Linked DNA regions of Mus musculus. Each later gene encodes a partner of the first gene's protein in a complex. Links are inferred from orthologs where the notes say so. Each region holds a gene or a part of one and is shown on either strand. Other genes may lie near its edges.

Evidence for each region.
Region 2: the proteins of Calcrl (region 1) and Ramp2 are in contact, whole or in part, in a crystal structure (PDB 3AQF), measured with the Homo sapiens proteins. The link is inferred for Mus musculus from reciprocal best matches to the Homo sapiens genes CALCRL and RAMP2. Residues at the interface, in NP_001258680.1 of Homo sapiens: Arg38, Asn39, Ile41, Met42, Thr43, Gln45, Tyr46, Glu47, Tyr49, Gln50, Lys51, Ile52, Met53, Gln54, Trp69, Asp70, Gly71, Arg119; in NP_005845.2 of Homo sapiens: Trp86, Ile89, Tyr93, Ser94, Arg97, Leu109, Gly110, Pro112, Glu117, Ile120, Phe121, His124, Gln125, Phe128, Ala129, Cys131, Ser132, Leu133, Val134.
Region 3: the proteins of Calcrl (region 1) and Ramp1 are in contact, whole or in part, in a cryo-EM structure (PDB 6E3Y), measured with the Homo sapiens proteins. The link is inferred for Mus musculus from reciprocal best matches to the Homo sapiens genes CALCRL and RAMP1. Residues at the interface, in NP_001258680.1 of Homo sapiens: Asn39, Met42, Thr43, Gln45, Tyr46, Glu47, Tyr49, Gln50, Lys51, Ile52, Met53, Gln54, Thr68, Trp69, Asp70, Gly71, Arg113, Arg119, Thr120, Phe228, Leu231, Ile235, Thr239, Val243, Ala244, Gln250, Trp254, Tyr255, Leu258, Phe262; in NP_005846.1 of Homo sapiens: Trp59, Ile63, Tyr66, Arg67, Ala70, Phe83, Trp84, Pro85, Asp90, Phe93, Leu94, His97, Gly98, Phe101, Arg102, Cys104, Pro105, Ile106, Ser107, Gly108, Arg109, Ala110, Val111, Arg112, Asp113, Pro114, Ile118, Leu119, Phe122, Ile123.
Region 4: the proteins of Calcrl (region 1) and Adm2 are in contact, whole or in part, in a cryo-EM structure (PDB 6UVA), measured with the Homo sapiens proteins. The link is inferred for Mus musculus from reciprocal best matches to the Homo sapiens genes CALCRL and ADM2. Residues at the interface, in NP_001258680.1 of Homo sapiens: Val36, Thr37, Lys40, Asp70, Gly71, Trp72, Asp90, Tyr91, Phe92, Gln93, Asp94, Phe95, Asp96, Pro97, Ser98, His114, Ala116, Ser117, Thr120, Trp121, Thr122, Tyr124, Thr125, Asn128, Thr131, Lys134, Val135, Ala138, Leu139, Leu141; in NP_001240774.1 of Homo sapiens: Leu106, Arg107, Val108, Gly109, Cys110, Val111, Leu112, Gly113, Thr114, Cys115, Gln116, Val117, Gln118, Asn119, Leu120, Ser121, His122, Arg123, Leu124, Trp125, Gln126, Leu127, Met128, Gly129, Pro130, Ala131, Gly132, Arg133, Gln134, Asp135.
Region 5: the proteins of Calcrl (region 1) and Ramp3 are in contact, whole or in part, in a cryo-EM structure (PDB 6UVA), measured with the Homo sapiens proteins. The link is inferred for Mus musculus from reciprocal best matches to the Homo sapiens genes CALCRL and RAMP3. Residues at the interface, in NP_001258680.1 of Homo sapiens: Arg38, Asn39, Met42, Thr43, Gln45, Tyr46, Glu47, Tyr49, Gln50, Met53, Trp69, Asp70, Ser117, Arg119, Thr120, Phe228, Leu231, Ile235, His238, Thr239, Val243, Val245, Lys249, Gln250, His251, Trp254, Tyr255, Phe257, Leu258, Phe262; in NP_005847.1 of Homo sapiens: Trp56, Cys57, Leu59, Phe62, Ile63, Tyr66, Glu67, Thr70, Cys82, Tyr83, Pro85, Asn86, Pro87, Leu88, Gln90, Ile93, Thr94, His97, Arg98, Cys104, Thr105, Val106, Asp107, Arg108, His110, Leu111, Glu112, Asp113, Pro114, Val118.
Region 6: the proteins of Calcrl (region 1) and Adm are in contact, whole or in part, in a cryo-EM structure (PDB 6UUS), measured with the Homo sapiens proteins. The link is inferred for Mus musculus from reciprocal best matches to the Homo sapiens genes CALCRL and ADM. Residues at the interface, in NP_001258680.1 of Homo sapiens: Val36, Thr37, Asp70, Gly71, Trp72, Asp90, Tyr91, Phe92, Gln93, Asp94, Phe95, Asp96, Pro97, His114, Ser117, Thr120, Trp121, Thr122, Tyr124, Thr125, Asn128, Val135, Ala138, Leu139, Leu141, Phe142, Thr145, Thr191, Leu195, Ala199; in NP_001115.1 of Homo sapiens: Cys110, Arg111, Phe112, Gly113, Thr114, Cys115, Thr116, Val117, Gln118, Lys119, Leu120, Ala121, His122, Gln123, Ile124, Tyr125, Gln126, Phe127, Thr128, Asp129, Lys130, Asp131, Lys132, Asp133, Asn134, Ala136, Pro137, Lys140, Ser142, Pro143.

What each region holds. Positions count from the first base shown.
Region 1 is NC_000068.7:84,330,740-84,334,976, forward strand, and holds part of Calcrl (calcitonin gene-related peptide type 1 receptor precursor), read right to left. Parts: intron 2,940-4,237; coding exon 2,715-2,939; 3' UTR 1-2,714. UniProt on the Homo sapiens protein: G protein-coupled receptor which specificity is determined by its interaction with receptor-activity-modifying proteins (RAMPs). Together with RAMP1, form the receptor complex for calcitonin-gene-related peptides CALCA/CGRP1 and CALCB/CGRP2.
Region 2 is NC_000077.6:101,244,595-101,248,907, reverse strand, and holds Ramp2 (receptor activity-modifying protein 2 precursor), read right to left. Parts: upstream 2,575-4,313; 5' UTR 2,457-2,574; coding exon 2,336-2,456; intron 1,854-2,335; coding exon 1,764-1,853; intron 1,323-1,763; coding exon 1,220-1,322; intron 1,098-1,219; coding exon 842-1,097; 3' UTR 658-841; downstream 1-657. UniProt on the Homo sapiens protein: Accessory protein that interacts with and modulates the function of G-protein coupled receptors including calcitonin gene-related peptide type 1 receptor (CALCRL) and calcitonin receptor (CALCR). Required for the transport of CALCRL to the plasma membrane.
Region 3 is NC_000067.6:91,178,055-91,182,814, reverse strand, and holds the start of Ramp1 (receptor activity-modifying protein 1 isoform 1 precursor), read right to left. Parts: upstream 2,994-4,760; 5' UTR 2,727-2,993; coding exon 2,675-2,726; intron 1-2,674. UniProt on the Homo sapiens protein: Accessory protein that interacts with and modulates the function of G-protein coupled receptors including calcitonin gene-related peptide type 1 receptor (CALCRL) and calcitonin receptor (CALCR). Required for the transport of CALCRL to the plasma membrane.
Region 4 is NC_000081.6:89,320,680-89,325,407, reverse strand, and holds Adm2 (protein ADM2 preproprotein), read right to left. Parts: upstream 2,689-4,728; 5' UTR 2,275-2,688; intron 2,132-2,274; 5' UTR 2,121-2,131; coding exon 2,008-2,120; intron 1,437-2,007; coding exon 1,097-1,436; 3' UTR 677-1,096; downstream 1-676. UniProt on the Homo sapiens protein: Intermedin/ADM2 is a peptide hormone that plays a role as physiological regulator of gastrointestinal and cardiovascular bioactivities mediated by the CALCRL-RAMPs receptor complexes.
Region 5 is NC_000077.6:6,656,775-6,661,589, reverse strand, and holds the start of Ramp3 (receptor activity-modifying protein 3 precursor), read right to left. Parts: upstream 3,058-4,815; 5' UTR 3,018-3,057; coding exon 2,963-3,017; intron 2,030-2,962; exon of another isoform or gene 1,945-2,029; intron 1,507-1,944; exon of another isoform or gene 1,354-1,506; intron 1-1,353. UniProt on the Homo sapiens protein: Accessory protein that interacts with and modulates the function of G-protein coupled receptors including calcitonin gene-related peptide type 1 receptor (CALCRL), calcitonin receptor (CALCR) and G-protein coupled estrogen receptor 1 (GPER1).
Region 6 is NC_000073.6:110,626,067-110,630,853, reverse strand, and holds Adm (ADM precursor), read right to left. Parts: upstream 3,198-4,787; 5' UTR 3,033-3,197; exon of another isoform or gene 2,598-3,032; 5' UTR 2,576-2,597; coding exon 2,478-2,575; exon of another isoform or gene 2,439-2,477; intron 2,330-2,438; coding exon 2,180-2,329; intron 1,993-2,179; coding exon 1,686-1,992; 3' UTR 1,034-1,685; downstream 1-1,033. UniProt on the Homo sapiens protein: Adrenomedullin/ADM and proadrenomedullin N-20 terminal peptide/PAMP are peptide hormones that act as potent hypotensive and vasodilatator agents. Numerous actions have been reported most related to the physiologic control of fluid and electrolyte homeostasis.

The DNA.
Region 1 (4,237 bases):
TCATAAAACCTAAGTAGAGATTTTATGTCGATAAAATATGAGTTCTTTTAAGTGAACTTGAGTATGTTTTACATATAATGTTTCTATGAGCAAATTAAAACACAAAGGAAATTAAAATAGATTCACATTAAAATATCTAAACAGTAAGTATAACACTGACTACTCCTAAACCCTACACAGTTTGTTATATTTGAAAAAACACTAACCTCCAGGAAGGCTGGTTTATCAACAAAAAAATACAAAGTCGCTTCTAAAAGTGTCAGCCATGACTCTAACAAAGTATTAGAGAAAAATAATAGATGCAACTTTTAAAAGCTAAAAACTCCCCAAGTTAATTTTTAGGCACCAGAGAAGTTTTCTTTCAAAATTTTTGGATTTTTTTTCTACAAGCATTATAGAAATATTTTAATTGGCACTTCAGCTTTAGAGAAATCCAGCTTCAAAAATACTATTACAAAACTAATACTGACTAATCTTAGACTGCTATGGCTGAGAATGACACCACAGTAGATATTGGCAGTAAAAAAATCTCAGCTACACTCGGTATAGTAAAAAAATAATAAAACTTAAAATTACAATACCTTTTAAGTATGTTCTCTGGTAATTCGGCATTCTGTACTACCATTTATTGTTAATACTTGACAGTTTGTTTAGAAGAATGCAGAATTACACGAACACTGTCAGCGAAGATATGAATAATCAATACCTAAAGTCTGAAGGTATTAAAAGGAAGGTTTGTACGGTTTAAGCAGCTGAAAGTTCAGAAAATTACAAATATAAAAAAAAAAGAAAGAAAAAAAAAAAAGAAAATTACAAATATGTCTGTCAGATCATGTAATACATCAGTGCTTGATAATTTGAATTCTTTTCCTTGACAGTTTCAAACAACTTTTTAATTTATTCTCTTCTATAGCTTAAGACAATGAGTGAGGGCTGAGTCACTCCTCTCATCCACTGTAAACTGACAGACACACTTTAAAAAACATGGACTCATGTAACTGTCCCCAGAGTGACTTTTACTAACTGAAGTCAATCTTGTTCTTCAGAAACTCCAAACCAAGCAATATTGGAAAAACTAAATCCATTTAAAATGTCACTTAAACTCACAAGCAAAATCTTCTTCTGTCTTAATTTAATTATTACTTAAATATCTGACACTTCATCCTCAATGAGTGGTAAGTTCAAGTCTTCCCGTGGCTTGTATTATCATCCACAGTAGTCTACTGAAATACTGAAACAGTGTTATTACATAGAGAAAATTCCTCTGTGGTTCATAAAAAAATAATAACCTGGGTCTTTTTCAAAAGCATGTATCTTCATTTAGTAAAAATCAGTAAAGCTATAATTTAGTGAATTAAAGCCCACAAATGTAGCAGACTAGCACTTCTTACAGTAGTTGTTCATAATTTCTGAATTTGAATGAGTTGTCATCAAATTGGAATATGTCATATTGGAAGCAGTATGTCAGCACACCAAATATATCATGCTTGTAAAATTATGGCTTTACATTTTTAAATAAATATTTCATATCTTATCATTGATATTTCTGGGGTTTGTTTTTAGTTCTCAAACTTCTGATGCTGGTATCTGTTTGTCCTTAAAATATTTACCAAGTATAGAATTCATGATTCTATTTTACTATAAAATAAATCAGCCCAGACACAGTATCAGATACTAAGTTGCATATAATGTTGCATCATCTATCTGCTTTAAAAGTTACCTAGGTTGTGTTTTGAATTGAAACAATAAAATAAAATTACAGAGTACTTACAGTTTCATTTGTACAACCTCTCTCTCTCTCTCTCTCTCTCTCTCTCTCTTTCTCTCTCTCTCTCTCTCTCTCTCTCTCTCAGATTCCCAAGATAAAAAGAAATCCTTCATTGATTCCCTTCATGTAAAATGGTTGATCACTTACTTATCTACACAGTAGAAATGGAAAGGCCAAAGTTTCTATTTACAGATTCCAGAAAACTGATTTCCTCCTATTCTTGCCGAGAGAGAGAGAGAGAGAGAGAGAGAGAGAGAGAGAGAGAGCTGACAAGGTGTAGCTTCTACCAATATGTCTCCCTAGTGATTCAGAGTGCATATACCACAGGATACAACAATATGTAGCAGCAACTAAGAAGCCCATGGGAATTCTGCTCAGTTGCTTTTCTTAAAGAAAGTAACATGAGACCACAGAGATAATGAACTCTTTGTCTAGTCTACAAGAGAAGTTATAAAGAGGGTTAAAGTGTTTCTGGACAAACCATTCACTATCACCAAATGACAAAAGGATGAGGAGTTTTATAACAAAAACCAAACTTTCCTTTCATGTCTGTAAGTCCGAGTGAGGTCTCCTCAGATGAGAAGAGCAGAGTTCTGGTCAGTGTGGGTGAGAGTGTGCACAGACTTCCATCTCTGAGGGCATGCAGTGCTGTGCAGGTTCCAGAACATGTCAGCTCCTGGGAGTTGTTTGTGCTTATTTTCTTTCCAATTACACATTCAGTGATGTCAGGTTGGTAACTTGAAATCAGTTATGGTAGGAGTAGTTACTGGCCAACAATATAAATTGAGGCTTTTCTCCCCCATAGAGAGAGGGTTGTTAAACATTTATCCATACAATTCCCATTTCATTTGAGGGCTTTCTTCATGGTATTCCAGAAATCCATTTGCTGGCTATCCAATCTTTTGGCTATAAAATCATAGGTTCAAGTGTGTGATTTTATATATTTTCACATCACTAGATCATACATATTTTCTGATTTTAAGGCAACATTTTCAATATCCTGGATGCTTTTTCCATTTAAGTGTTCAGTGGGGCAGTCATGGCTGTACCCTTGCATGTCACTGATTGTTGACACTGTGTAGGATGCACTGCGGAGAGCATCAGAGTGGGAAAAGCCATTTCCAAATTGGATTTTATACTGGTTCCAATTTCTTCTCAGAATTGCTTGAACCTATTGATCAACAATAAACAGAAACAGCAAAAACAACCCATTAGTTGAGCTGAAAATACTCTATTTGATGCATAACAAAATGTTTGGCAGAAAAGCTTTTGCTCTTTAAAGGAAGAAGACCAAACTGGTCCTGGTCTATAATTTTAGTTACACATGAAACTGAAGGAGGAATACTGCAAGATCAACACCTGCCTGCATGCTAGTATTAAGTAAGCTCAGACCTACCTAAGTATCTTACTTATATCTTGTATAAAAATAAAAGGTAAAGGAGAGAAAGAGAGAGAATGAGAATTAGCTCCTTAGTAGGTTGTTCACTTCGTATTTATGATGCCCTAAATTCTCTTCCCTATGTTGTTCTCATGAGAGTTGGGCATGTCCTATCTTTGAATCAGTCTTTTAAATCTTTCTCTGGTTCATCACTTTGTCTATCCCTCAATTAGATGTTTCTTTCAAACATGACTGCTTCCTTCTGTAAACTAATCTTACCTGTATTGTTTGGGATTAAAGGCATTTACTAAAGGCTTGTTTGCATTCCAGCCAGATCACAGAGACCCAGAAGGTCTTTGGATATGTGGTTTCTTGCCAGAGCAGTCATTTTGCTGGATTAAAATTCCTCTAGCCCATAGCTTTCTTTCTTAAAACAAATGTGAAGTTTAATGCCTTTTTTCCTGACTGAAATTAAAGATTATGAATAATTGTGTCAGATACACTGACTTCTATTTTGATTGAATTAGGACTCTAGAAAGACTTCCTTCATGCTGAGTCCTTAAACACAAATGAAAATAGTCAGCTGAGTCTTAGATGCCATCATCTTTATACTAACAGATCTGATAACTGTGTACAGCCTGAGTAGAGGCTGGCCAGTTTTAGGTCATAATATATTTGCCCCATCCCTGTGGTGTAATATATGTTTGCCTAGATGTTTGTTGTTTGAATAGATTTTCCCAATCTGCCATCTAATATTTTGTGCCTGCACCCAAAGGAATCTAAGAATAAAAAGAAATCTAGTAATTCATATACTCTTAACATCCTCAGATATTAAGAGTATATAATTAACTTTCTGTTCAAAATATTTGTGTAAAGTCCATATTAAATATTTTATAAAATCTGTCTTGTTTCTTTTCTTGTGCCTTCTCCAAACATTCTGCAACCAATAATGATTTATAGGAGACTACAGTTTTAGGGTTACTTTTAAGTCTCTTACATGCTACCACTTAAGATAAAAACAGTTTTCCTGTCTTATTTAATGTTTTAGTATTAATGGAAAAAGCATGGTCAAAATGGAGTTTCCCATTTCT
Region 2 (4,313 bases), on another chromosome or scaffold:
CCCAAGTGCTGGGATTAAAGGCGTGCGCCACCACTCCCGGCTACTTCTTTTAGATTTTATACGTTGTCTTGTTGTTGATCTTAGCGGACACCAGGGGGCAGTGTGTGGCCATGATGGATCTCTTAGACAATGTGGGATAAAGGCCAGGAACCTACTAGAGGGGGAACAGTAGAATCCTGTAAAGGAATCTCCCCCCACCCCCCACCCGCCAGCCCCATTGCCTTCAGCCTCAAGCCTGAGATTCGTACGGATTAATTCCTGTTGGTAATCATATTTCTTCTTTCTAGCTCTAGAGTAAACCGAGGCACGAAGAAAGGCCAACACTGGGCTCCCGGGTAGCCTTTCTTCCTTGCAGGAGTTACTGTAGAGCTTTCTTGCCCCTCCTCCCACACCTTCCCAACTACAGGCCCCCAGCTGCTGTCCAGGCCGGAAGGGAGTCTCTTCCTGCTCATTTCCTGGAGCTGGGTTTGGATAGCTGCAGGAAAGGCCCCTCCCTGGGAGGAAAAAGTATAGGAACATGGCCTTCAAGTGGAGGCGGAGGGCAGGTGAACTGAACTGAACTGAACAGCAGGGCCATCTAGATTCTTCAAGCTCTGTTGCCCAGTAATGATGCCCTGTAGGACTATCATCCATACTGACCCCACTAGGAAGGCAATATTGTACAAAAACATAACTTTATTTTAAAGACTACAAACATTGTGTCGTGAGTCCCCTTTGCTGCCATTTCCACCAATCCACAGGTCTGTGGGAAGGATGAGAGTAAGTGGGTAGGGAGGGGAGGAGCGCCATTCCTGGTTCCAGCAGGGAAAAGGGGGGAAAAATGGCTGCTGAGAAATGGACCCTAGGCCTGGGCATCGCTGTCTTTACTCCTCCACACCACAAGAGTAACAAGGAACGGGATGAGGCAGATGGGGGCTATGATCATGGCCAGGAGCACATCCTCTGGGGGATCAGAGAAGGTGGGCTGCACCAGGGAGCAGTTCGCAAAGTGTATCAGGTGAGCCTCAAGGATGATGTTTTCTGCCAAGGGATTTGGGAAGCCCAGCCCAAACTTGTCTGCATTGTATTCCAAGCAGTTCTGCAGGTCGCTGTAATGCCTGGGAAGCAGTAGGGGGTTTGAGTGAGGGAATGGATGGGCACAGGGAGAAGGATGTTCCCGCCCACAAGGAACAGGTCCAACTCCTGGCCTGAGCCATCCATCCTTCAACACTGCCCCTACCTGCTAATCAAAGTCCAGTTGCACCAGTCCTTGACAGAGTCCATGCAACTCTTGTACTCATACCAGCAAGGTAGGACATGTGTTTCGTAGTCTTCCATCTTCCCTGTGGGGACATAGGCTTCACAAAGACCACACCCCTGACCTTCCCTCCAAGCCTTCCGATCCAGGTATTTCCAAAGTACAGTCCTCTGCCTTCAGAGAAGGGAATCCCCTTTGAAAAGTTCCCTAGCAGGACACTCGTGACTAAGAGGAGCATTCTCTCTCAGGACTCAGTGCCTCAGGGATCCTGTAATGGCAATCATGTGCATAGAATTTCCTTTCCTAGCCCTGAAAGCATATCCACACACACCCAGTCTTGCCCTTCTTACCCAACTGGGGCAAGACACTGGCCTGTGTGGTAGGGAGAAAGACCATAGGAACCCCAAGAGACACCAGAGAGGTTAGAGGGCATCAGTTGGTCCTCAGGTTGTCTTGTGAAAGGATTCCTCCCGTGTTGGGTTTATCCTTCCCTCTAGGTCACTCTCCCACAGACTTAGGCACTCACCTTTTGACACAAGGCTGTCCTCAGTGGGATGAGATTGATTCTGGGACTCCGGAAGAGATTGGTTCAGGGACTCCGGAGAGGCTGAGACAGCTGTATAAAGAAATGAAAGGAAAGGCCTGAATAGTGGTGGGGAGAGGTCTGAATAGTGGTGCCTGTTTACGGGTAGTGACCAAGGCCCTGGGAAGTCAGCACTGCTTTGGAACATAAAGAGGAATAATCTCCCCACCTCCCCCATGGGATTATCCTATTGAGGGAAGGGAGCGGCTGGTACCAGCTGCGTCCCAATCACATCCTGGTCCAAAGCCCCCTCCCTCTTTATCAGTCCTGAACCTCCTAAGACCTCTCCGTCCGGTCTGGGCAGGCACCCCAGCTTTTAAGTAGGAAGCAGCATTAAGTGGGAAGTAGCCGGCCTGCGCCAACCCAGAGATGTATTCAGGACCCATCTGCAGTTCAGAGGTGCTCCGCACGTCGATTGGTACTCGCAGGGTGGTCCCGTGCTGGCCTCGATGTCCCAGGCCCCTTCCCCTCCCGGACCTCCCACATCTCCCACCCGGGCCCGACACGGTGCTCACCGCCCAGCAGCAGCAGCAGCAGCAGCAACAGCGGAGGGAGGCACAACGCTGTCGGCCGCTGGGCGCGGGTCACACCAAGCCGAGATCCACCCGGGGCGCGCTCTACCCGGAGCGGGGCCATCACGCCTTGGGTGAGATGGCGAGGAGGGGCAGCGGAGCTGAGCTGGCCCGGGCGGGGGCGCCTATATCCCCGGCCCGAGCCGCAGGAAGCTGCGCCGCTTCCTCGGAGGGGCTGGCACGGCGGCGGCCACGTGGGGGGCGGGCTGCAGGGGGAGTCACTGCCGCACCCGCGCCTCGCTCGGCCCGGAGCGCCCTGGCCCACTCTCGCTTCCAGCTCGGGCTGCGGGGCTGGACAGCTCCCCCTGTACCCCGTGAACTGCGATCCACTTCCCTCCCTGGACTAGCTCAAGTCTCCCAGCATCAGCCGAAGGATTCCAGTCGTTCACTCCTTCTCGCACCGGAGGGGTGGGGACCAGCTGCCGTCCCAGACCTGGGGAAGAAGGAGGCAGTTGGGAGCTCCAAAGGCCTCCGATGCCTGGGTATCTGAGGCAGGGGAGTTTGGGGGAAGCGGCGTCAAGAGCTGCGCCCGCCCCACTTTCTTTTCCCAGGGAACACCCACTGATGTCTGCCAAAATCCGGAGAGGAGAGGGGCCTGGCTCTACTGAGAAAGGAAGAAGGTCTGAGAAGCAGGGTAGGGAGGAGTTAAAGTCTAAATAAACCCCCTTCAATGTAAATTCTGAGACCTTTACCCACAAACCTGATATTGGAGTGCAAAAAGTAAGTTGACTACATTTCCAGGAAAATGGCTACCCAGGTTGCTAGAGCGAAGGGAGATACTAGAACTTCCAATGTGCTTCTTAGTGTTTGAGGTGAGTTGTTGCTGTGGTGGTTGCTGTTGCTGCTGCTGCTGCTCCTGGAACCTCAGCCCCAAGGCAAGCAAGCATATTATCACCATCACCTATTTTATAGAGGAGGAGGCAGCTAAAGCTCAAGGAGAGACCCCAGGACTTGAACTGAAAAGTTCTGTTCCCAAATCTACCTTCCCCAGCTCTACAGCCTTGGAGTCTTATACGGTTGTCCGTTGTTTTCTCATGCACTATTAGGACCTTGCTCTCCTCCTGCTCTGGAGGAATCTCCTTTGTGGAAAGAGAAGCCGGTTTTCTTTTTTTCCTTTCCTGAGTGACTTGGCTAAGGTCACGTTTTACTGGGAAGCCCCAAAGGCTCAGTCTGGGCCCCCAGGGACCCTGCCAGCTATCACAACTCAGCTGTTGCTGTATATTGGGCCAGCCAGCCATTAGCCTGAATTAGCCCAGGGGCTTGTTTGGCCGCACTTTTCAACTCCAGGCACACAGCTGTCAGCGCAAAACTTTCCCAATTACTCCCAGACATTGACCCTTGAACTCAGCTGTTGCTGTTGTCCCAGTTTACTGATTCCTGTCCACCAAAGTTATCTTTTATGGTCCTCCCTTAAAAAAAAAAAAAAAAAAAAAAAAAGCATTGCAAGACTTCCAGCTGGCCACAGGCAGCTGGAATTAATTATAGGCAGCTATAAGGGGTAGGGGTAGCCCTTTGAACACCTCAAAGTTCTGTTGGTAAGGATCAGAGGTGCAGAGAACCAGGTAGCCTCAGAGCCACTTCAAACTGGGGACCAAGAATGGAAGAATTCTTCAGAGAATTGCCCTTTTACTCTTTACATTTTAAATACTTTTTAATGTATGTCACCTTGTGTGGGTGCACATATATGTATGTGTGTGTGCAGGTGCCTGAAGAAGCCAGAGTAGAGTACGGGGGTCCTTTGGAGCTGAAGTTGCAGGGGAGTGTGAGCCACCTGATATGAATGCTGGGAACTGAACTTCCTCCTGTACAAGAGCAGAAAATGCTCTTAACCACTAACTCCCTGGGCTTGCTTGCCTTCCTTCCTTCCTTCCTTCCTTCCTTCCTTCCTTCCTTCCTTCCTTCCTTCCGCATCAATATCTCC
Region 3 (4,760 bases), on another chromosome or scaffold:
CAGGATGGAAAGCCTGTGGCTTGCAGGCTGCCCACTGGCAACTGGCACTCAGATCACCCTAAAAACTGACCCACCTTTTCCGGGGCTCCAGCAGAAAACTGACCGTGCAGCCTGCGAGCATCCCAGGGACCAGGCTTCAGCCAGAGCTCTAGTGAGGGTACAGCCTAGCAGGACACATGGAATCTCAGAAAGGAGGGGTGCGGCAGGGTGAGCCTTTGGGGAGCCACTCCCTGGCTCAGCACTTTCACTGGGATTCATACCACATGTGGCGTCCCTGTCACACACTCTCCCAGATGCCAGTTTGGATTTGAACAGAAACTATCAAACTGGTTAGTTCAGGGGTATGTGTGAGGAAATCACAGGAGACTTTTCCAAGGAGTCATTTGCCCCAAGTGAGGATTGCATCTAAAATGTTCCCCTATGTTACTGCAACCTAGCATGGGTAGAAAAACTGGTCTGCAGCCCTGGGCTGGACTGACAGTCTGAACACAGACCCAGCATGTATGCAGGGAAGCTGGACAAACACCAAAGAATCACTCTGTCTCCAAGCTCACACTGATGGCAAGTAAACACAGTGATTCAATTAGCAAGCTGGAGTCCCTGGATCTGGGCTCCACAACAAGAACCGTGTCCAGATAAAAACAGCAACACACCGACTTCCTGGGATGTCCGTTTCACTTGTAGTTTATATATAGTTCAACAAATAGTCCGGAGTCTCAAATCCCCAACCCCCCTTCTAGGTCCCCAGCATGACAGACAAGGAGAGCATGCGTTCCCCAGTACAGACGATCCAAGAGCTGATCCACTGCTGTGCCCAAGAGAAGTTTGCAAAAACAGCAGCTTGCAAAGCAGTCAAAGCTGTCCGAGCTGGCCTGCCTCGTACCCACAGCTCGCCTTTCCTGACAGCTCAGAGCCTTTTGATGGTTATGCATGAAAATGTTTTAAAGTGCACGTGGTCTCTCAGGAGATGCTTTGTAAACACAACAGCACACAGAGGAGAGTCAGCGGGAAGAGAAAAAGACGTATCTGCTGGGATTTCGGTAACTCTTAATAAAGCCAGCAGGTTGACTAAGAGAAGAACCAGCTGGTTTATAGAAGCGTCCCAGATCAAGATCTCACATCCTACAGATTACTATACTTTAAAGAAAAACAGAACTCTTTCTTCCACATAGCCATGCAAGATATCAAAGTCTATCTCCAAGGAGATCTGGCCAGTAGCAGGGCTCGTGAAGAACACTATGAGCTCAGTGATTCCGCTCATCACAGCTGGGTTCCCAAGTCATTAATTCACCGATAACCTCATAGAGTTGTGTTTGTTCTCCCAAGACATAACATCAGCCAGACTGCTCAGGGCTACGTCAAGAGCACAGGTCATTGGACTGAGAGCAGAGCCCTTTTCTTGGTAAACACAGGCGGTCCTTACATGTGGTCAAGCATAAGTGTTCTATTTACACAAGCCTTCCAGGGTGCAGACTCTGGTGCACTAGTAAAGAAACTTAATTTATTTGCTTATTCTTAAATAAAAGGGGGTGGGGGAGGGGCCCAACCAGCTCCCTGTGCTGCTAATGTTCATCTCTTAGGAAACTGAAGCTAAAATTTCACATCAAGCCAAAAGGATCTGAACATAGCCAAAGACAGCAACATTATTATAAGGTTTTGATTTTCACGCAAGTTTAGCCAACACATATAAGGGGCAAATCCACCTTTAGATTCTATTACACAGAAACAGATTTTTAAAGTGTAGATCTGGCACTCCCTGGCAAGGATTAAAAACAGGAGAGCTCTGCCCTGCAAACGGTAGGTGTCCAGTGCTGTTCCTGCCCAGTCACCGGGGACAGGCCACACTGCCCCAAGCTGCTTCCTTGGCTATAAACAGCACTAGTGGGCAGCCTTTGCCACCACCAGAGCCTGTGCAGCAGGTGCCTCTGACCAATACCATGGGTATGGGAAAAGACCACAAGAATCATCAAGCCACAGGCCCTTCCAGGGACACTGGACCGACTCTTTGTTTGCTTTCGTTAAAATGTAGCTATGTACCTGAATTATGTCCAAGAGGTATGACAGCCCCGGGTCCTGAGAACGTTACAGACAAGGGAACTGAGATGGGCAGTTTCTTGTTAGTCACCCCTGGGCTACAGTTTCTGATCAATCTAAAACAAAATCCCAAGCAAGTCTGCCACCTCTAATATTTATTAGCCACACACGCCAACAACAACCACCCTTCACCCCTAGCCTCCCACCCTCCGTGGAAATAATAGTCTCAACCAGCAACTGTTGTAGGTGAGAGTCAGGCTTCCAGTTGTCCTTAGTGTCCGGATCCCTAAGCTGTGGCTCTGGTTGAAGACTGCACATCTGTAAGCTGCTTCTGGCTCAGGGAGCTTGCATCAGTTTGGAGAACTGAAGTGCCGACAGGGGAACCCCGCGACCCTATCCCTCCCGGAAAGCAAGCTGCCCATTGTATGATCAAAAGTTGCTGATGCCTTCGGATGGCCCGCTGGATGATGTGCCCAAGCCACCTCGTCTCCGTGGCAGCGTAAGGTGGTGCAGCGCCCCCTCCCCCGCCCCCATCACCACTCTACTGTCTTGCCCAGACCCCATGCCCTGAGTAAGGTGCGTTCAGGTGCTGCCCTCCCGGCCCCAGGTCACCACCAACGCTGCAGCCCGGGCTACTCACCCAGCAGCAGCCAGAGGCCGCACCGCGGGAGGCCCCGCAGGCCCGGGGCCATGGCAAGCAGAGCCCCACCGTCCCAGCGCCTTGCCGAGCTCTGCGCCCGCTGGAGACGCGCCGGGGGCGGGAGCTAAGGAGAGACCGCGCCCGGCCCACTGCGGCTCCCACGCCCGCGGCTGTCGAGGGCGGAAGCTGGCGGGCGGCACCTGAGGCTGGAGCGCGGCTGGGACTAGAGGGGAGCCTCCTGGAATGTCTGCAGGGCCGGATGGGCTTGGAGGGTCTCCAGGTCCCCAAACTCAGCACCTCGCTCTGACGGCTGGGTTCCTCAGCTATCCTGTGGGCTCTGCAAACACCCCGTGGTCCCATCTCCTTTTCCCCGTGGGGTGCTGGAGTGGTGTGGCCAAAACCAGCCCTGACAACCAACGTCTGTAGGACAAGAAGTGGAACCTCAGGAAAGATGGTCAGTGGGAACAAGGCTCCTTGGAGGGACAAAGGTGTGCTTGACAGCAGGTGGTGACAAGCCAGGGTAGGGTAGCAGAGTCCATGAATACCGAATTTAGGGACAAAAGGAATTGCTAGGTAAAAAGGTGAGACTTCCGTTGGGGTTGGCTACTGGCCATGACTCTACACAGGATGGACCAGTAGTGGTAAGGGAGACTTGGGTGTGTGAATATGAGCAAGAAAGGCCATGTAACACCGGCAAGCTGAGAACCCTGGGGCAGATACCCCAAGTACAGGCTAGGCCTGACCTGGAGAGTCATGGATGCAGCAGCTCAGACTAACTGAGCAGGTCTGCACTCTGCACGCTGCAGGTGAGCAGACTATCACTGGCCCCATACACTGGCAGAGACTTCACTCAGGTTTACAATACTGGTGGGTGAGCAGCGTTCCTCACAGCAAGGGGAACAAGGCTAGAGGCTGCTGCCACCTTCTGGCCAAGCGCTCAGGACCCTTAACAGCAACCTGGTATTCATCCTGAACACAGGCCAAGCCGACATTTGGGGTTCATAAACCTATGTCTTGGGGACCCCACATGTCCTAAAGTCAAGGGGACATGGGGAAGGGAACACATTCTTTTGGCTTGGCTAGCCCTTCGTTTTGAACCTTATGAAGCCCTGCCAGGAGGCCAGCCTCCTTTCATGGACAGACATGGGAGTACGGGCAAGTCATGGCTGGAAAGCAGCTGAGCCCTGCCTCATTCAGTCCTTCCTTTCATGTCTGCAGCTCAGAATCTAGGCTGTGAGGCTCCCCAGTAATTGCCCTGAGTTTCTCCCAATTCACACAGAAAGGATGCAACTCGTTGACACCCGGCCTTAGTGTGGCTGCCCTAGGACTGCAGGTTGGCATCTTCAGTCTGTGAGATTTGCTCACTTCTAACTGGTCATCAGCAGCATTGGATCCCCTCTCACATGGGCATGTGCTGACACTGCGTTAAAAGACTGTCAGAGGGAGAGAGGCATTAAGGTAGAAGTCAGCAGGTCTACTTCTGTACAACACCTTCAGTGGATACAGTTCCCATTTATACACGGAAAAGTAACCAGACCTCAGCAATTGCCACAGTAGACAGTTCAGGGAGCCCTGAGAACAAGAAATCAAGGCAGCCTGGGGCTGCCTACTAAGTTTCCAGACTTCAGCAGGATGAGGGAAGCCATAGTCCAGAAACCAATCTAAGAAACAGAGAGAACGCCTCGGGAAGACATCTGAGAGAGGCAGAGGGCAGGCTTCACACTGTACGTAAGGACACTCCCTGAAGTGCACAGCAGCAGCAGCAGAGCATGTGCACACACAGTCTGGAGCAGCCCAGCTTCCGCTACCGTAGAGGGAAACAAACTGTGCTCAGAGCAGCTGAGAGCGAGCAGGACTAGCCTTAGGCATCAGAGGAAAAGAACCGCTGCTGTCCCAGGGCAGCCTGAAGGAGCGGGACAGCAAGAAGCGAGACCACACAGCATACGGCAACACGTAACCACCACAGCCACACAGGGCTATAAAAACAAAAGGACAAAGAATACTAGAACCATGACCCCACTTTGAGGGGCCTAACTTATGCAACTGTAGTCCCGGAGGAAGAGTGTGAAAGACACCCACAGGGCTA
Region 4 (4,728 bases), on another chromosome or scaffold:
TCTTAACCACCTCTCCAGCCACCCAATTTCCCTTTCTTGATCTCTCAGCTAGGAACAGAGGAATATGCCTGTCAGCCTCTACTATCTTACTGTTTATGCCGGATGTCCTCATCGGATGGGGGTGGGCAGATTGCAGAGACCACCTTGTTTAAATGCCTCCAGCTTTCCTGAGGTAGGCTTGGGTTGGTTGGTTTCCTGAGGTAGGTTTGACTTTGTTTATTTTTCCCTGATTTGGAGTAGTTTTGTTGATTGAGTTTTTGAGATAGGATCTTGCTACACAGCCTAAGCTGGTCATGAATTTCTCATCCTCTTGTCTCAGTCTTCAGAGTGCTGAGGTTGCTGTGTGTCACCATCTCTTGCTTAGGGGTAGGTCATACTCAACCGTTTAGAGATGGGCCAATAAGAGATAAGGTTTGTCTTATCCCCTGCCTTGGTCTGAGGGTAAGAAGGGTTGTCTCTGCCGTATTTTATTCCAGAATGCCCAGGAGTCTCCATCACCGCTTTGGCCTGGACTCCAGGTTACCCACAGCCACTGGAGGTCTCTTTTCTGACTGACTCTAGGGACCACACCAGATAGCCCTTCTTTCTGCCCCTCCTGTCTCGGTTCACGAATGGAAAAAGTCATTGTTCCAGATCAGATACAGAAAGGTAAACTGCACAAGAGAGTGGCCACAGCTTTCGCCCACAGTCAGACTTTAATTCCCAGTGGGGTTGGGGTTGGGGTTGGGGGTGGGGTGGGGTCACAGGGGTCACTCCAGCCTTCTTCCTGCTTATTCATAGGTAGAGATGCATTTAAGATTCTAGCTTTTGCCCATTTCTTTAGGTACACGCCTCCTCGAGTTCTTGGTGGCCTATGATATTGGCAGCACTTCTTCCAAGCACCTGTACCCTGAGTGTACACAGTTCTGAGATGCGCAGGCCCCTGTCGGTGCAGATTCTACAGCCTAGATCCACATATCCTCATAGGTTTAGGGTATCCAAAGCCACGAGGAATGGCTACAAGCAGGAGCTCCAGAGAATCGGGCCAAGGTATGGAGCTCAGCTGCAGCTCTGGGATCAGAGCACAGCACTCCAGATGGAGTACCTAGGACCCACCTCAGCCATAACTGTGGGGGCTGCTGGGATCCACAGGAGCTGAGTCCCGCCGGCCAGCTGGCCGGACAAGCTGCCACAGGCGATGGCTAAGATTCTGGACTTGGCATGTACCCAGTACACAGCCAACCCGCAGGAGCTGGGCATGGGGTCTTCGGGATCCCGTGGGACGCTGGGGACCAGGGTGTCGTGAGCCACCACCCTGAGGCAGATGAACCATAGCAAGGGCCCTGTTGCCCCTTCCCTGTGGCTGGGGGGCATGACGACGAGACTTCCAGACTACAGGCTGAAGGGAAGGGTGTCCAGGCTGCAGGTTACTGGAAGGAATCTTAGCTGGGGGCTCTCTGCAGAAGGGGAGAGAAAGATGTAGTAAACTCAGTGGCCTAGTGGAGCCTTCCAAAAGCCTTTTAAAACCACCTACTTCTCTTCTTCACAGTCCGAGGGCACTGGCAGGGGAAGCCCGCAGCTTCCCTAAAAGCCTGGCCCAGGACCAGGGGAAGCCCAAAAGTTTGGTCTCCAACCTGAAGGCTGGGAAGGGGAGCCCACCATCCTTCTGGGCTTACTGGCAGCTTGGCCATCTCAGTAGCCCAAGTCACATGTACCATTAACAACACCATTCTGGGCAAAGGTCCCCAAGAAAGACCCCCATTCCCCCACCCCGGGTTCTTCCCTTATGTGGTCAGAAGCCAGCAGGTTTGAGAATCTCTGAGCTCCCTTCCTTCAGCAGACCTCAATGTCAATTGTATCCGTGGGGGTGGGGGAATAAGTACCCCAAGTAGAAAGAGGCAAAGGAAGAAAAAAGTTCTCCTGCCTTGTTCAGGCAACACTAAAGGTGGAGGGTGGCCCCTGAGCTGGGAGATGAACTCTAGAAAAGTTAGGTTCCCCCTGAGGAGTTCGGTCCAACCCTGTACTCACCTGGGTCTGGAGTGCCTCAGTCCCTTGCCCAGGCTGCCAGACAACGTGCCGGGGAGCAGGTAGAGGAGGCTGATGCAACCGAGGGTTACCGTGACCATCAGCAACTGGGCCATGGCGGGCTGGGCTGTGGAGCAAGAATGCAGTGAAGCTAGCAAATGGGGTGGAGGAGGTGGGCCACTCTGGCCTGGAGCCAACCCTCTTTGCCCACCAGTTGGGGAGCCCTTCTCTGCCCCCGGGCGCTCGGAATGTGGGAAGATTGGTTGGTACCTGCGTCTGTTGTCTGTCGGGGCACAGGTCTCAGGATCTGGAGACAGCTGGCAAAGCTGGGATCTGCTAGCAGTTCCCAGAGCACGCAACGGAACTTGTGGGTCAGGTCGTGGTCTCCTAGGAAAGAGAGCCTTCTGGGGTCCAGCGGAAAACCAGTTTGGGAAGCACTTCCAGCACTAAGTAGTCTTTGGAGCTAAAGGCGTGGCCCAGACGCTGATGGGGCGGAGCGTCCTCCACCCGGGTGGGCTGCGGTAGCCACGCTCTCCTGGTGGCTACTCCTGCCCAGCAGAAAGCAGTAGAGCCACAGGAGGTCACTTCAAGGGGCCCATCCTTGCTGGGAAATGCTCAACAGCTGACCAGAAACCCCGTGGGGCTACTGCCCTCACTCCTGGTACCTTCTGGTGCGCGACAAAGTCTCAGAGACTAGTGGAGCCAAATGGTCGACCAGGCAGGTGAGTGCTAAGGTAGGGAGTTGTGCTCTGGCCACAAGGGCATTCACCTGTGGTTGCCCAGCATCCCCAGGAGATGATGGCAGATTCCCGTGGTCTGCCTGTTTCCCAGGCAGGCTGCTCCTCATTACCAAATACTGTAATACAAATACAAAGAGAGACCCCGCCACAGCAATATTCTGGGTGACAGAGTCGTTGCTCTTTTCTGCACACAGTATTCTCTGCATGAGTTATGCACGCATGCACAAGCAAGTTGTGTGTGTGTGTGTGTGTGTGTGTGTGTGTGTGTGTGTGTGTGGTGTGTTAACATAAAGGCACTCTTAGGGTTGGGCATACTTGAAAGTATGCAGGTGTTCTGTGAGTTGCTTTATTATTTTTTTTATCAGCTTTTTCCTCCCACTGGGAAGTGAACAACTCAAGCACACACCACTGAGCTACATCCTCTGTTACCTTATTTGCCTTCTTAGTTGAGGTAGGGTCTCCCTAAGATGCTCAGGCCAGCCCTGAACTCCCTCTGTCACCAAGGGAGGAATTCAACCTGAAGTCTTCCTAGCTCTGCCTCTTGAATAGCTGGGATTACAATCCTGCACCACCATCCCAGCAATCAGCCTTTTTTTTTAACGCTAATTTTTATTTTTTCATGCTTTGATATGTCTCCTTTTGACTTATTTTTTGTTAATCTTTAGCATATAGAATTATGGATTTTATTATGACATGTTCATAAACATATTGTTGGGTTTTGCTTGTATTCATACCATAGGTCCTTGGTTAATCTATATTCCAGTGATTTTTTTTTTTCAGATTTTTCCACAATTAAAACCCCTACCATTGGAAGCTCACACACATGCGGTATATACCAAATTGTTCTTCACAATGATTGTGCCAATCCACCATCCACCGTGGATTCTGTGACATTAGTTCTTAACATCTTTGTCAGCCTGACAAAACTATTCAAAACAAAAAAACCTATCAGAAGCACTTTTTATTTTTTTTCTGACTGCAGGAACATCTCTTCAACTCTCTGTGTTTCCTCTTCTATTTCACTATGTCCCTTTGTGGGGCTTCCCCGGGACTTGGTCACTCTGTCCTTCCTGCTGAACATACACGGGTGCTCAGTAAGCATTTGCCGGATGCGTATATACAAGTCTTCAGTGCAAACCATGCTGAAGATGTTACTTTACCCTCTGAGAAAAATATTAGCAGAGTCACCCAATTGCTTGTTCTTATCAGTTGTGGGAAGGGTGGTTTCGTCAGACTTACAGAAGAGCAGTGTGCTAAGCATGGTGGTGCACACCAGCATCAGGAAACAGAGGTAGGATTGTTAGTTAGTTTTAAGACCAGTCTGGGCTACATAGCAAAACCCTGCTCCTCTCCCCCCAACCCCGTACCCCCCCCCCGCCCCCCCGCAAGCCAAGGCTGGGGAATGGACCTTTGTGGTAGGTAGAGTGCTTTTCTATGTGTTCAAGACCCTGGGTTGCGTCTACAACCCCTTCAAAAATGAGCAAAATGTGACCCCTCCAAAGCAGGTGAGCCTGGGGCTGAGGCAGGTGTTAGAGAGGTCAGAAGGAAGGGATGTAGAGACAACAGGACAGATGGGTCAGGGAAACTAGGCAGAGAAGGGGAGGGACAAGAAAGCTGAAGATCAGTGCACAGCCCTTCTATTTGATGGTGCAGGAAGCCATTCGCACAGGAAGAGGCTACAGTGTGGACATGCCCAAGCTAAGTTGCCTTCTCTGGATAGAGGTGTCTGTCTAGGAGGCCTCCAGTGCTGTGTCCTAGGCTAAGGTTGGGAGGAGGGGGAGGTTGGATGGGGTGGAAGGCAGGAACAGCTGTTGGTTTTCCAGGGTTGGTTAGGTTCTGAGAGCTGTTGTAAGCATCATCTGAGAGAATGAAGAGACGGTGCGGCTGAGTACAGAATCCGTGTGCCAGGTCTCAAGGGGGAGAGGTGATCAGAGGTTGCTGGGACGTCTTAGCTTCTTCAGCTGAGCATCCTGTCTCCAGCCCA
Region 5 (4,815 bases), on another chromosome or scaffold:
ACCCTGACCCCTGGGACTCCATGAAAGTGGGTCACCGCCACTCAAGCTACTGGCTGATCTGTAAAGTTCTCAGGAACTAAATCAAAGTAGAAATCCATTCTGGATGGCTCTGTTCCGAAACAAAGAACACTCAGCCCCGTGCATCTTTTGTCTCAGTGACTTCCAGATGCCGAGAGATGATAAACAGCCGGACAGATGCATTTCCTAGAGAACGGCCCTTTGTCTTCAGTCATCTGGAAATGAACCCAGGCGCCTTCATCCTCTGTGGAAATAAGCATCAACAGACTGGGGCACAAAGGCCGTGGACGCTGGCACTGGGGGCTGCGGTCTCTAGGGCGCAAAGGCCGTGGACGCTGGCACTGGGGGCTGCAGTCTCCAGGGCGCAAAGGCCGTGGACGCTGGCACTGGGGGCTGCGGTCTCTAGGGCGCAAAGGCCGTGGACGCTGGCACTGGGGGCTGCGGTCTCTAGGGCGCAAAGGCCGTGGACGCTGGCACTGGGGGCTGCAGTCTCTAGGGCGCAAAGGCCATGAACGCTGGCCCTGGGGGCTGCGGTCTCCAGGGCACAAAGGCGTGGATGGATGGCACTGGGGGCTGCAGTCTCTAGGGCACAAAGGCCGTGGCTGGCTGGCACTGGGGGCTGCAGTCTCTAGGGCAGTTCTCTCCCTTCACCTGAACCCCCATCCGGGAAATGGGCCAAATGACCTCCAAGGCAGCTCCAGTACTAAAGATTCTGTTTAACAAACCACCTTCTTCAAGACCTTAGGTCTCCAGCACTGCTTGCCACCTGCTTGGCTCAAGGTGAGTGTGACAGGTGACAGGGAGGCAGAGCGCATTACTATATAACTCATGATAAAAATTGGGGCACTGTGTTCACATTCCCAGACACACATGTGGGCACACACGCGCGCACACATGCGTGCACACACAGATCCCGGGTGCTCTCACTCATGGTGACAGGAACACATATACCAGGAGCGGCCTCTGCTTTTCCATGAGCATTTCGGCTCCACCACAGAGTGACTGGGCCAAACTTAACTGACTCAAGCCAGTCCGTACAGCAGCACTCCACAGCTACACTCAGGCCAACAACAGGGAAACTGAGGCTAAGAGCCAATAGGTGGATACCTACCTGCTGGACTCCTCATCCCAGGACCCTGAGAAGCATCAAAGTGTCCCTGTAGAGTACGTTAGAATTTCAAGGAAGCCCCACAGGCCGAGACCTTTATTGTTTGGAAACAAAGGCTCTCCTGATGCTGTTCTCTACAGTGACTAGGCTCAGAATCTAGAGTTCCAGACATCACAGTGTCAACAAAGCATAGGTGGCAGTCAGCGTTCCTGGGAGCTAGGAAGCTCAGCTCATCCCTTGCAGAGCTCAGACCCCACCTTGGCCAGACTGCGTGTGACAGTACATGTTTCATCTCTGACTCCCGGGCTGGCCAGACTCACTGTAGCCAGGTCTGTGAGAAGGCTGAACCTGACCGGCCACTAAGAAGCCTGGTCCCATGGGTGAGGACAGTGGGGACTTCCACAGTAGGATAGGGAGGTGGCTGTTGGGGACTGTGGGGACTTCCACAGTAGGATGGAAAGGTGGCCATTGGGGACCAGGATTGCTACAATTTCATGAGGTTTCTGTCTGTGTTGCTTCCCAGTTCCATACTAGAAACAGTCAGGAGAGACATGGTTTCCTTCCAGATAAACTCTGGACCTCCTTCCTCTAGAAACCAAACTCCTCACCAGGGGAGCCTTGCACTGGAGGCTTGCTGAAATCCCAAAACAGCTCACTGCCTTCTGGAGGTGGTCACAGTCCCAGCCTTCAACATAAAACTACCCCAGCCTGAGCGCCCACTGTAGAACACGAAAAATGGTCTCACTCTGTAAGCAGAGACCTCTTCAAAGGGAGAGAACTAATTGTTGAGTCTGGCCCACCTCTGTCCCAACTCCCAGACCGCATCCCAAGTCATCAACACTGAGGAAGACACTACAAACAGGTCCAACTTCATCTTACAGCCAAGGAGGCTGAACCAGGAGAGTAAGGAAAACTCGGGACCATGGCCCTGGAGGACAGAGCCCCTCCACCTGGAGGGAGGATAGAGCCCCTCCTCCTGGAGGACAGAGCCCCTCCTCCTGGAGGACAGAGCCCCCTCCTGCCAACAGCTTCCCTCACAGTTCTAGCCAAGCACTGGCCTTGCCCAGCAAGCCCTCTCCTATCAAACCCTTCCACAGGCACTCATGCACACACATGCCCACACAGGCACACAGATACAATCAGGCACACCCAGAGCCACAGGTACATGCATACATGTGTGTACACAAGCATATACACATACACATACACATACATGTATCCTCTTATTTATCCTTGGGTAACTTCTTCAGTAAGATACTTCACTTTTTATTCTTTGAAATTTTACATATGTATACAAAGTATTTTGAGCATATCCACTCCTACTCTCCCCGCCCCATTAAACTCCCTCAGGCTCCTTTAATATGTCTCCCTACTAACTTTATTCCCTCCACACCCCTTTCAAAACAAGCTTAATATTTATCCCATTTCTATCTTGTGAAAGCAATGTTTCTCCCTGAGTCCGATTTTCTCACTGGAAAAGGATTCTAGCTACCTGCACCTGTGTGCCATGTGCCCGGGGCAGGATGGGAAAGAAACTCACTACCTCACCAAAGACCCTTCCCTGGACCCCAGAATATCTCTACCCCACAGGGAACTGTGCAGCCCTTGCAGCTCAAAGCCTTTTCCCTCAGCTCTTCTAAGGTTGGAGGAGTTATGAAGACCCTCCACAAAACCTGCAGGATGTGCTGGAGTCAGCGTGCCTGTGTCTTTTCCAAACTCTGGGGGGGGGGGGGGGGGGGGAAGAGCGCAGCCTAGGCTGGACGCGGGAAGGAGAGAGTCCGCGTGGGTCCCAAGGACCCGAGGAGATGGAGTACCCCGACCCAAATGTCTCCTTACCACAAAGCAGCAACAACAGTGGAAGAAGGTGCAGCCGCTGTGCTGGGGTCTTCATGGCCAACTAAGATGCAGCCGGCTTGCAGCAACAGCGACATTCGGAGGTAAGAGGCTTGGGGCGGGACCAGGGCGGGACCTCGGAGAGCCCCAACCCAGGCCACGCCCCCACCCCGCCCCTGACTCCCTCCGTTGCCTAGAATTCTCAGCTTCTCTCTGGAGGGGCAGGTGGTGGGGACAGGAGGTGGGGGTCGCGTTGGGATATAGACTGGAACAGAGGAAGGGGAAGTGCAGTCGGGTGGGAGAGCCAGTCCAGCGTGGCGGGAATGGAGAAGGGGTTCTAACCGGAAGACTGCAGGTTTGGTCTGGGGATGAGCCGGATTAACCTCAGTGTCAAACTGGGAAGCAAGCTGGAGAAATGAAGGGAGTTATGCAGTACAGGTTGATAGAGGGGAGCCAGGCAGAAGACAGACAAGAGGTTGAACTCGGAGAAACCCGGGGTTCATCCTTGCAGGTCCTGTGGGACCCCCCTAAGCCAGGCACATAAATTTAAGCAGAGACAAGTCTGAGAGCCCTGCCTGTCTCCAAGGGACAGAGAAGGGCATGAAGTGGGTTGCTGAGCAGATGGGGGGGGGGGGGGCATTCTTCCAGACTGAGGCACTGGGGAGGGGAGCTTGGGTGTGCACACATGCAAACACAAATGGCTAAGTCTGAAGCTAACTGAGGGCAGGCGGGTCAGTGACGGGGCCTCCAAGGACCTGGCTTCTGGAATCAGCAGGTAGAAAGAAAAGAAAAGGCCTCAGTTTCTCCCACCATAGACTACATCTGTCCCTCAAGCCCAGGACAGCTTCCTGTTCCCAATGTTGGGACCACTCCTCAGAAAGAGAAAAGCAGACCTCTTTGTCCTCCAAAGCTTATTGTCCCCCAGGAAAGCACTTGCTGGTCTGAGAGCTAAGGCCCAGACCTGGGAGGATGGCTTTCCCCACCTAAACAAGCACTTCTGTCTCCCACGCCCCATCACTGAGCTCAGCTCACCTTTCCTGACCTAGAAAGGCTCACTACAACTTTCTGTGAATTTTCACTGAGAAAATTCTGGTCGAAGCCAGAAACAAAAACAAACAAGCAAATAAACAAACAAAACCCTGTAACTACTTTAGGGCTGAAGAGATGTCACAGTGGTTAAGGGCACTTACAGGGGACCTGGGTTTGGTTCCCACAGGTACTGGAGGTAGCGCATGATCATCTGTATCGCCAGCTCCATGGGATCCAGTTCGTTCTGGCCTCTGAGGGTGCCGCACGCAATTGTGCACACCCATACATATAAACCAAAGAAATCTTAAAGATTAAAAAAAATAGCATTTTTAAAAACCAGTTAGCAAAGAGAACCTAGGAAGCCTGGGCTTGCTACAGCAATAACAAAGGAGTCTAATTAAAAGTAAAACTGATTTAACTTGGTCAGTCATCCTCCTTCAAGAGGGGCCAACATCTAGGCCATTATCCCTGCCCCTGTGCTAAGGGGAGGGGGCGCTAATCAGGACAAAAAGGATAAGCCAGCAGGTTGCTCTTATAGAGGGCTGATTGTCCCACAACCTGAAGTCAGAAACGGGAAGGCAGACTCTGTACCACCTTGACTATCGTCAGCAATGACGAACGCACACCTCGGGTGGGCACTACTCGGGCAGCTGAATGCAGGACCTGCTCACTGGCTCTGCTGTGGAGAAAGCTCACTCAGTCCACAGAGGTGAGTCCCAACACCTCAGCTACACAGGGCTGCCCATGCCCCTGGTATGCCCCAAGGGCCTCTAATCCTGCTGAGCCGCAGCCTATGTCACACCTTCAAAGCAGATGAGGAAGGACGG
Region 6 (4,787 bases), on another chromosome or scaffold:
TCCTAATCTTATAGTCCCTGTGCCCTGGGCCTTCAAGCTTAGAGGCTAGCATTCCTCACTGGATACAGAGGTGACTGAAAGCACGGAGGAAGGAAAGAGGGAGAGAAGGCTAGATAGAAGTGAAGGCAGCATGAAAAAAGGCTTGGGAAAGAGGAAGGAAGAGGAGAACTGGAAGGGGAGACGAACAATGAAGGTCTCAGGCCCTCGGAGGCGCACGGTTCCGGCTGCACGTCCATCCGCCCGCCTCCGGCCAGCAGCTGCTCGCCGCGCAGCGTGTGGGCGCTGAGTCACTGCCCCTGCACAGCAAGCCCGCGTGCAGGTCGGGGAAGGGGGGAGAAGACGAAGGGAGGGGAGCCCAGTTGGCATCTGCAAACTGCTTTTTCCCCCCCTTTCTTTCCTCTTTCATTAAGACTATGTGCTGACTCCCACGTAGAAGAACTTATTAAACCGCACGTACTACTCTACCGCTCTTTGGGGGAGCACGCATGGTGGCCAGCAGGGGGCGCTACAGCCCCGCTTATGGACGTCAGGGCCCAGTGAAGACTTGGGCTGCTAGCTGAGGGTTTCCCAGAGCTGCTGTGCGAACGTTTTGCGGGTCCCCCACCCCCGGTAGCTTTTAACACCCACAGTTGGAGCATAAACTCTACTTAGAAAGCCTTGGATATCAGTTTAAGTCTCCAAAGAGCGCCTTAGCTCAGGTCCAGTGAGCAACCCTATAAAATTGGGAGTATATTGCGCAACTTAAGGAGCCCAGGCTCGCCTATTAGGGCTCACCCTACCCTACCCGGTCTGGTTGCCATGCAAGGAGGTGAACTCGGGTATCTCAGAGAACTCTTGACTCCCTCCCAGGACACGCGCTTTGTGCATCCACATGGACACCAGAGCTCACAACAGGTAAGCCTTGCTTAGAGAGGTTGCTTTGCACCCACAATGCAGTTCAATCTTCCCAAAACAAGAAGCAGAATCTCAGCACTTCCAGGCCGACCCAAACCCAGACCACCATCCTTCCCCAAATGCATGAACCGAGAATGAATCAGCATTGAGACAGTTTATTGGTTTGCTTTTTCCCAGATCACATATTTTATGTAAATAGATTATAGGAAACACAATGTTTTTTCTTCATCCACAGGCGATAATCAGGCGCTCTCCACCTTACACACACACACACACACACACACACACACACACACACACGGAACCAAACAACCTTACACCTTGCTGAGACATTCACGTCTTAAAATAGGGGAAGGTGACAATATAATCACTTTAAAATGCCCTTAATACAATATATAACGTACAAAAATATCTCTATATATTTGAAGTTACAAAAAAAAAAACCTTGACAGCAACAAACTTAAATACTATAGTTACCTTTGGCTGGACAACAAGCATTGCACGTTCCTCGCTAGGTTTTGGAAAGTTCAAGTAGTAATGAGGCTTATGCCCCGTGAGAAACCAGTTTATGAGCGGGCAAGGCAGTGGCTCAGACCCCTGCCCGGAGAGTATCAGCCTGTAAGTCTCGGTTTCTGGCATGAGCCTGGCTTGGTCTTGGGTTCCTCTGCCTCCCCTAGGGGCAGCCAGGCAGATCTCTGCAGGATTGTCTCAGTCCGCCCCGGTGCGAAGTTCTCTGATTCCGCAGGCGCCAACGGGATACTCGCCCGACTGTTCAATGCTGTCACCCGCACCTATATCCTAAAGAGTCTGGAGATGTGCGCCCAGGGGCCTGGGGCTGTGTGTGTCTGCTCCTGGGAGGACTCCACAGTCCGGGACCGGAGGACCTCCAGCAGGGAACGCCGGCGCCGGCGGCCATAGCCTTGAGGGCTGATCTTGTTTCTGGGAGCCATGCCGTCCTTGTCTTTGTCTGTTAGCTGGTAGATCTGGTGGGCCAATTTCTGAAATGTGCAGGTCCCGAAGCGGCATCCATTGCTGCGGGAACCCTGGTTCATGCTCTGGCGGTAGCGTTTGACACGAATGTGGGCTTCGCTCTGATTGCTGTGAAGAAGGAAGGACACCTCATCAACCGGGGCTTTGGTCCCAACCACCTGGGACCGGAGCCATGCAGTACCCGAGGGACCTGGAACCCGTTCCCTCCGCCGGAGCCTCAGCTGCAGTGCAGCCAGGACAATCCCCAGGGTCAGAGTAGTGGAGAGGGCACATCCTCTGCAGAGAGCATAGTTACCTGGCTTGTAGGGGGCCAGTTGTGTTCTGCTCGTCCAGGAATGGATCAAGAGTCTGGGTAGGAACTGTCGTCTCATCAGCGAGTCCCGTAGGGTAGCTGCTGGATGCTTGTAGTTCCCTCTTCCCACGACTTAGCGCCCACTTATTCCACCTAGAAAACACAAGCAGATGCGTTTGGCCTAAGTTCAAGTGATGTCCCAGCCAGCTCCACTCCCTTTGTAACACCTCCAGACCATCTCTCAGTTTTCTCTCATTGCCAGGTATTCAAAGTGAAGAAAGAAAGCACGGCCCAAACTCACTTCTTTCGGAACTGCGAAGGAGTATCTGGCCCTGCAGTGTCCGCGCCTAGGAAAGCGAGTGAACCCAATAACATCAGGGTGATGGAAACCAGCTTCATTCTGTGGCGATGCTCTGATACCCTGGAAAGGAACAAGACACCGAGTGTGAGCAACCGGGCCAGCAGCACGATCCCGTCAGCACGCGAAGGGTGGCGGCAGGACGGGGAGCCGCTTGGCAGCGCTCTTCCTGGCTCAGCTGCTTATCTCCCCCACTGGCGCAGAGAAACACCGGAGATTTTTGCGCTGGCCGGGTGGGTGACAAGCAAGGCAAAGGAAGCCATTGAGAAGTGCCAGGCTTCCAGAGGTTTCCAACTAAAGTCCCAGGATCTCAGCCCAAGGAGGAGGGGGGATCTCAAGAGAGCTCCAGCTGTGCGCATGAGCTAGACCTGGGCAATGAGGTGTTCTCTACATTGGATACCCTAAAGTGGGTTGTTCCCCCTTGTCCAGCTCTGCAAGTTTTGGGGCTTTGGCAAAGCCGTCCCCCTCCCTAACATGCTGGAGGCCAGCGGTTCCTACCTGATAAAGGGGTGCGTTGTCAAGCACTTGAAGCAGAAAGAAGTCCTTCTGACAGTAGCAAAACCCCAAAGTCCAAGATTGACTGCGATGAGAAGCCGAGAAACCAGGAGCGGGAGCGGTAACGCTGGAGTTGCTCTGTCTAGTGTCACCAAGAAACCACTGACTAGTGAGCACCAGCTCCAGCGTCTTATAAGCGCTCAGGGGCGGACGGTGGGCGTGGTCAGATTTGCCCTGGAGTCCTCCCTCTCCAGCGTGCTTGCTTCTAAAACCAGACCTGCCCTGCAGCTTGCCTGTGGGTATGGGGGGTAGGGGTAAGAGGTCCCCTGTGGCTAGACATCTCAGAGATCCGCTCTGAGAGATTAGACTGGAGCAGGACTTCCCTTGCCCTAATTTCCCAGCATAGAGTTCAAACAGTGAGAAGGGAAGGGGAACCAGAACAACTCGGGTGGGGTGAATCCTTTGCCCATAATGTGTACAACCCAGAGTGCTGATCTGAGCTTCCTGGACAGTGCTGCAAGAACCGGGAGACGGGTGGGACACATGGATAACCAAAACCCCGGACTTGGGGAGCTGTGACCTCAAATGGACCGCGCCCCCTGCCGGCTTAGCACCTGACTGAGCCTCGACCCCCATCTGTGCCCGCAGGGTACACCTGGAAGGGAGAGGCTCAGTCTCCAGTGACTGGGACTGAGGGGTTTCTCGATAGACTAGCCAGTACGGATTTCGTAATAAGGGCAGAACTGGGAACAGCTGAATTGGAAATTGGGGTTTGGAGAGGGTAGTTATCTGAAAATTCAGAACTCACATTCCTATTTGGAAATACAGGAATAGCCAAAATTAGGAAGAGAGATAGTTTTGTTTTCTTCCTTGTGATACTATTATCCCTTATAAGGCTATGACCTGCGAGTTGACCTGACTGCCTTCATTCATCCATCATAAACGTGAGGATTGACTGACTGGGAGCACACTAATGCCTCACATATGTTAATCACTTTACAGTTGACAAATCCCAGCCAGATCCCAATCGCTTTTGATCTCTACACTCCCGAGCTGGTGTTCTCTTGAATTAAAGTGAAGTGCCGAAAGGGTAAGTCTATTGCCCAGTCACACTAAAGGTGGGAAGCTGTAGAGTCTGGACTCAAAAGACTGGGGCACAGCGGCTCGGTTTTCTGGCTGGGGTCACCATTCTCATCAGGTGGGGGGAGAATGCCGGCCCCCGCCTAGCCCAGAGATATGTGCTAATTCACGATGAATCAGTTCGAACACGTTTGCCACGGGCTGGTGCTCTTCACAGATCCGTGAGTTCACTTTCTTCCCTTCTAGGGCCAAACTGGGCGACAGGCGTAGCTCCGCATGCAGGTCTCCCGGAAGGTCCCGAAGCTAAAGACATGACCTACGACAGCTCCTAGCCCCCAGCCCTGGTGATGTGGACACAGACAACTCATGTCCTCTTCCTGGCGACCCCGGCAGATCTCCCAGTGTCCTACCTTATCTGCCTCTAAGTGTTAGACCAAGAGCAAAACCGACTAGGCATTCCTGTCCCGCGGACCTTGCTCACAGCGCAGACTATGCTAAGCACTGCTGGTTCAGCCCGTTTGTCACCCTCCAGACAACCATGGACATTGCACCTGGGGGAGAAATGGCCGCGCCGAGATTACTTATCCTCCTAAAACTGCAAAACGGAGTTCCCCCTTGGGCAGGGGACAGATTCCCAGGTTCTGCTTCTGGTAGGGGCTTGGGACACGGATGTTGAAA